2 linked regions of the Kluyveromyces lactis genome follow. The protein of the gene in region 1 interacts with the protein of each later gene in a pairwise test. Links are inferred from orthologs where the notes say so. Each region holds a gene or a part of one and is shown in the gene's direction. Other genes may lie near its edges.

Region 1 (3,136 bases):
AATCTTTTGCGAAACGGTTTGTGCAAGACGATGATGGACCAGGTTCGAATACTAATAAGGTTATCATTGTGTCCAGGTCTCAGAGCAAGCTGGTAAAGGCTTGTGAGAGAATTGGCGTTGATGGTGTTTCTTTGGACCGATATGTCAACGATACCAATAGAAATGAAACAAAATTGATATATCACAGCTGTGATACGTCATCATACGACAAAGTAGCATTGATGTTCAAGCTACTGGTCAAGAGTGAATTGGTTCCATCACAGGTGTACATGTGTGCTGGGGGGTCAATCCCAAAACTGTTCTTAGATTTGACACCGGAAGAATTACAAAACGGTATCACAACAAATTATTCCACCGCCGTGAATTTGGCCCATGTTTCTTTAAAGCATGATGTGCCCCATCTTCTGTTCTTTTCCTCCGAGGTAGCGTTCTTTCCTTTCATTGGATACGCTCAGTATGCTCCTTTGAAACAGAGTATAAGATCTTTGGTTGCAATCTTGAGACAGGAACATTCAAGTACAAGAATCACCTGTGTGTACCCAGGTAATTTCCAAAGTGAGGGCTTTGATCTAGAAAATATAACTAAACCTGCAATTACAAAAGAAATTGAGGGACCCAGTAATCCAGTGACCGCTGCCCAATGTCGTGACAAGATCATCTCGTCATTGAAATGGGGGCTTGATGATATTACCACAGATTCTATTGGTTGGCTATTGATGGCGTGCGATCAAGGTTTAAACAAACATAGCACCAGCCAATTCATGTTCGTGTTTTCATGGATCCTAGGTGCCTTGTTGAACATTACCATCGTGCCTATCTACATGTTGATTTGCAAATTCCAAATCTATCAATGGAAAAGGAATAAAGATACTAAGTAGTGTGTTACTATATACCCTGAGAGAGCTAGATATCTAAGTATGAAATATATTCCCAAACGACTCACATAGAACAAAGCCAGTGGATCGAATCGAGTAGTCTTTATTTACATCATTGGCGTCCTATTGGGGACAGTTTACCCATAGTCATCGCCGGAATCTTTCTTTTTTTTTTAGTGCGTGAATGTTTGAAAATTTTATAGAAGCTCATCTCATCTCATCTCATCGAATAGGTTCAGGTGGCTAGTGATGAGAAACAGTAATTAACAGCCTTGTTATTTTTGTACTTCTTGGAGCAACATTATTAAATATTAGTTTGCTTTGTTTAGTATCGACGGAGCGGGAGAAATAAACCTACACGAACTAAGGTAAAGGACAAAGATATGGCTGGATATACTTGTAACACTTGCGGTGTTGTGTTTGACACTGCGGTTGGCCAAAGAGAGCACATGAAGTCGGACTGGCACAGATACAATTTGAAGAGAAGAGTCGCTGGTTTGCCATCCATAGATGAAGCTACTTTTAGTGAAAAGGTTGCTAATGCTCGTGTAGAGAAGGAAGAAGAAGAGAACAAGCATAAGAAGGATAAAGTTAAACAGATGACGAAGAAGGAGATGCGTAGGTTAGAAAAGGAGAAGTTACTAGCCAAGAAGCAGCAACTATTGCAGCTCGCTAAGGAGTCTATGTTGAAGAACATGCAAGATAGTACTCCTGTTAATAAAGCATCAGATGATCCTGAGGTGCAAGTAGAAGCAGAACAGAAGGACGAAGTTGCCAAATCCAAAGCAGAAGAGATTCCAGAAGAAGAAATGACCCCCGATCAACTTGCTGAGAAGTTAATGGCTGAAAAGCTTCATAACAGAGTTGAAATTCCAGAAACTGAGTGTCTATTTACCGGTAAGAAGTATAAAACTTTTGAAGAAAATTTGGATCATATGTTCAGAGACCATGGTTTCTATATTCCAGAACAGAAATATTTAGTTGATAAAAGTGGTCTTTTCAAATACTTTTCGGAAAAGATTGGTTTGGGTAATATGTGTTTCTGCTGTTCTTACCAAGGTAGGTCCTTAGAAGCGGTCAGAGCTCATATGCTATCGAAAAAGCATTGCCGTATTCCATACGAAACGGAAGCTGAAAAGTTGGAAATATCAGAGTTTTATGATTTTTCGAGTACCTATGAAGAGTTAGATAAAGCCGTCAACGAGGATGAATCCCAGTGGGTGGATGTTGATGAAGATGACGACGGTGATATTGAGAATGATAAAAAGGAAGATGATGAAGAAGAAGAAGAATTACCTGAACATATACTATACAACGACGGTGTCGAATTACATCTACCTACTGGTGTGAAGGTTGGTCACAGAACCTTACAACGGTATTACAGACAAAATCTTAAACCTGAGCGTGAACTTAGTGAGGGCCAAGGTACTATCGTTGCTGCAGACACCAGACACTTCGCTACCATTTTCGATAGACAACAACAACAAGTACAAAAGACTACTTGGCAAACAGAAGTCAAAGACAAGAAAAGAGACGATAAAAGAGCTGCCAAGTTCGTTAATAACCAACCTCATTACAGAGACCAATTGTTACAGTAGATTCACTGTGATGAAGAACATTTTTGCATATGCACTTGGGTTTACGGTTTTACTTTAGTATTTAGATATATAGATCATTGCATTATCCTTAACAAATCTACCTCTATACTCCGTATTAAATATTCGGTCATTTCCTTTTATTATTGCTATGTATATATGAAATATGATTATTCCGCACTACATCGGACACCTATTCATTCACTTGTTTGTTTTGTTACTGTTCTTCTAAAATTCCTTCAATTACCTTTCTTTCATCTCTCTCAACATGAAAAATCTCTAAAGACGTAACGTAAACATCAATACATTTCAGCGTTGGATGGGAATAGCGTTGAGTTGTTCTAACAAACTGGTTAGTAGTGACAAGGTGAATTGAATCACACAGCTGAATCCATCATGGGTAGAAAATTATACTATGTGCTGGCCACTTTGCAATTGGTTGCTGTATTTCTCTTCTGTGGAGGATTCTTTCCGCAAAAGGTTGTTTTGAAGAATGATTCTAAATTCATTGTGAATCCGGAGGTACAACTGGCCTCTAAACCCGTGTTCAAGAAACTAGTGTTGGTTGTAATTGATGCTCTGCGGAGTGATTTCTTGTTCCAGAAAGATTCTTCAGACTTCGAATTTTTACATGGACTATTGAACTCAGGCGAGGCCTGGGGCTAC
Region 2 (3,966 bases), on another chromosome or scaffold:
TAAATAGTTTATCAGATGTTGTGAAGTCTAGAGATAGCACAATAAATGATCTCACGGCTAAATTGAAAAGCGCTGATGCTGAGCAGGAACAATTGTCTTTACAACTTTTGGAATCGAAAACTCTAGTGGAACAACTAAACAGTAAGCTAGAATCAAAACTAACAGTTGAAGCGGAGGTTTCGGATTTGAAATCCAAATTAGCCACAGCAAATAATGAGAACTCTGTTTTACTCCAATATATCGCAAACTTCACTCTATTCAAGGTCAAGGTTGGTGAGTTTCTAATATCCCAGATTGGTAGAAAAAAATCACAAGAAACTTGCGAAAAGTGGCTCAAGTCTCAACATATAATTGGATACAAGACTGAGAACGAGGAAGAATCATTTACGTCATTGAAAAACTTGGTGGAGAGAGATTTAAAACCAACTTTGGAAGAAAAGTCAAGCCGTATATCATATTTGGAAAAAGAAGTAGGGGATAAGAATTCAAAAATTACTGAACTCTTGGACAAAGTAACTGATGTTCAACAGTCAAGAGAGGAACTTATATCCTTACGTGATCAATTGACTTCGGAAGTAACTTCTTTGAAATCTCAAATTTGCTCCTCCGAAATAACTGCAAAGGAAAATGCTTTCAAAGATCTAACTGAACAAAACCTAAAATTATTGGAAAAGATGAATGTTGTCAATGATGAAGTAGCAACAATTCTAATGAAATTGAAGACTGAATCAGCTTCGCTTCAGAAAGAAAAGGAACTCTCGGCCAATATGAAATCCACCATTTCACATTTGGAGAGTTCTCTATCAAAAATACGAAAATCATATGAAAAGGTAAAAGGAAACGCGGCTGACAAAATTACACCAGATACACTAATGAAAATACATACACACATGAATAAGGAATCTTATGAAAACTTAGAATTGGATACGATTGATAACCTAAATCTTGTCGAGTGTCAAAATACAATCAAAAATATTGTTGCAATCCTTGATATATCCTACTCCAAGTTGTCCTCTAAACTTCCGTTAGTAAACATTATGTTGCGTTATGAAAAAACTATGTTATTCCATTTTGCGAACAAAGTGCATAACTTGCTATTCCACCAGGAAATCGATTTCAAGACGTTTACTAAAAAGGCTCTTGAGAACTATTGGACCCATAGGAATGCAAAAGAAATACAGCATCCGTTAGAACAGTGTTTAAAAGATTTATACAAGTCAGTTAGCGAAAAGTTACTTGTGTAGTTAGTTTCAATGTTTTCAAACTTCATTTTTAGCATTTTGTCATGGTAAAATTTGACACTTCACATTTTCTATATTATTATCATTTACTTAATTATTTTTCACTTTCATTGAACAATACAACGGGAAATTCTGTAAGATAGATACGCGAAGACTTCATGAAAAAGCATTTAAACAATACAGAGTATAAGAACCACATCAACGATTCAATAGCGCAATTCGTAATAGTCAGATTCCAAAGCTAATAGAGATGAAGACATGTTATTATGACCTTCTTGATGTCAAATCAGATGCAACCGATACCGATCTAAAACGAGCGTACCGTAAAAAAGCATTATTGTACCATCCTGATAAGAACAGAAACAATATAGAAGAGGCTACAGAAGTATTTGCCCAAATAAGAGCTGCATACGAAGTATTATCAGATGCCCAAGAAAGAGCGTGGTACGATGCACACAAGGACCAAATCTTAAATGATTCAATAGATGATGCTTACGATTCTGATGGCTCTAACGTTGTGGATAGCTCAGTGACAGGAGTAACAACTGAAGAACTATTGAAATTCTTTGACGGTGGAATGTACAGTCGAATCGATGATTCTCCAGCAGGGTTATATCAGATTGGTGGTAAAATATTCGCAAAATTAGCAGGCGATGAGGTAAGAAATGGACGAAAACTTGGAATGGCAGCGTTCAAAGATGTTGTCGATGATACTGTGGATGCCGATATTGTTTCCATCGGATATGTTAATTCTATGGAAAAATACAAGGAATCAAATTTACTTCTGCCAACTTTTGGCTATTCGGGTACAAGTTATCAGGAAGTAAAAGTATTCTACAAGAAATGGGGCAATTTTAGTACCGTTAAATCTTTTAGTTGGAAGGATGAATACATGTATTCAAGGAACTACGATAGGAGGACGAAAAGGGAAATTAATAAGAGGAATGAGAAGCTTAGAACTCAAGCTCGCAGTGAATATAATAAGACTGTAAAGAGATTCGTCACTTTCATCAAGAAATTTGACAAAAGAATGAAAGAAGGAGCGAGAAAGCAAGAAGAAGAAAAGAAGTTAAGACTCCAAAATGCCTTGAAAAGCCAAATAAGCAAGGACAAAGACGTAGAAATGTCAAAAAAACAGGCAGATTTTGCTTTGCAAGACTGGCAAACTATTGATCACAACCGATTACAGGAGATTGACGAATATTACCTATCCAAAGATCAAAAGAAAGCGCCAACGGATGGCGAGCATCATATCAATAATGACCTTGAGGATGTTCTAATCTATGAATGTTTTATCTGTAACAAGAATTTTAAGTCCGAGAAACAACTAGAGAATCATACCAATACAAAACTGCACAGGAAACTGCTGCGTCAACTACAATGGGAAATGAAACAGGAGAGTATCGCACTTGGGCTAGACAACATATCTGATGTGGATGAATTCAAGTCAGCATCAGAAACCTATTCAGATAATGAAACTAGTGGAAGCATACATCTATCCTCCCCTGATGAATTTGAAGAAATCGAGGAAAGCGACACATTTTCATTTTCTGATATAGATGCGGAATTGAAAAAAATTGACGAAGATCTTGACGCATTGAACTCAACTGAGTCGAATATAAACAATTTTATGTTAGAAACTTCTGAAGATGATAAACAGATTTCAGATGTTGAATATATCATTGACGATGAAGTAGATGAAAATATATCACAAAAGGTAGAAACAAATAATGCTACTCAAGTTTCCAAGAATGAAAATCAAAATAAAGACACAGAGCCCAAGGATGATTTAGCAATGCTTCTAGAATCCTTGAAGAAAGACAACGCAGATACTTCATGGGAACCTAAAAAGAAGAACAATGGTAAAAAAAATAAAAGCAGAAAAAAGCAGACGAACTCAACAACACAAATAGATTCAAACACCACTTCCGGGAACAATGCCGAGAATAAAATTTCGGCAGACATTGATAGTTTCATATGCTCAACATGTGGTGTTAAGTTTGATACTCGAAACAAAATGTTCAAGCACTTAGATTCCACAAACCATGCAGCCCCACTGTCGACTAATAAGAAAGGATCCAAGAAGCGGAATATCAGGAACAACAGTAAGTAAAAAAGAATGTCAATATCACAACCTTATCCATATTTTCTATGTAGATAGCAATTACATAAACTGGTCCTCGCTTGCCATGCGTTAGACGTATGCTCAGAGCGTCCATCCACTGGAGTTAGCAGTACTTCGCTCTAGCTGAGACTTTCTTACCCGGATACGTACGTAACGACAACGCCTTTCCTTGGTGACTTATCTAAGAAAAGTTTTCCTTTTTTTTTCTCGTCGGAAGTTCTCGTTACAATACCGATGCACACGCAGACAGACCCACCGAAGAATTGGAAATGAAAATGACCAGAATGGTGAAAAGCTAAAAAAACAATAGAAGAAAAAATAATGGAGCTGAATGTTAAATTTGGCTGACATAGATAAACTTCGGAACGCTTTCATTCGTTCATATGGGAAGTATCTGACCGATTACAAATCTAGTGTGGTTGATAACGGTACAAAATCAGCTGTAGCGAATTATTTCATATTTAGTATAGCGTTTCAGAGCTAGCAGAGAGTTTACTTTTGAACAGAGAGTTTCGTCTTCCTTTTTGGCATCGCAAGAGTATTCATAAGAAAGAGGATACAATTTTGAAAGCGAAATGCAACAAGATATGCAAAATGGTG

Evidence for each region. The genes of interacting proteins can lie anywhere in the genome.
Region 2: the proteins of REI1 (region 1) and JJJ1 interact in binary tests that used the Saccharomyces cerevisiae proteins (3 or more experiments, as listed by UniProt). The link is inferred for Kluyveromyces lactis from reciprocal best matches to the Saccharomyces cerevisiae genes REI1 and JJJ1.

What each region holds. Positions count from the first base shown.
Region 1 is NC_006042.1:161,563-164,698, reverse strand, and holds REI1 (Rei1p), read left to right. Parts: upstream 1-1,258; coding exon 1,259-2,473; downstream 2,474-3,136. Other genes in the region: TSC10 (3-dehydrosphinganine reductase), read left to right, coding at 1-878; mannose-ethanolamine phosphotransferase LAS21, read left to right, coding at 2,867-3,136. UniProt on the Saccharomyces cerevisiae protein: Pre-60S-associated factor involved in the cytoplasmic maturation of the 60S subunit. Involved in the dissociation and recycling of other late pre-60S factors like ARX1, TIF6 and ALB1 before newly synthesized large ribosomal subunits enter translation.
Region 2 is NC_006040.1:1,651,605-1,655,570, forward strand, and holds JJJ1 (Jjj1p), read left to right. Parts: upstream 1-1,491; coding exon 1,492-3,354; downstream 3,355-3,966. Other genes in the region: CNM67 (Cnm67p), read left to right, coding at 1-1,244; URE2 (glutathione peroxidase), read left to right, coding at 3,942-3,966.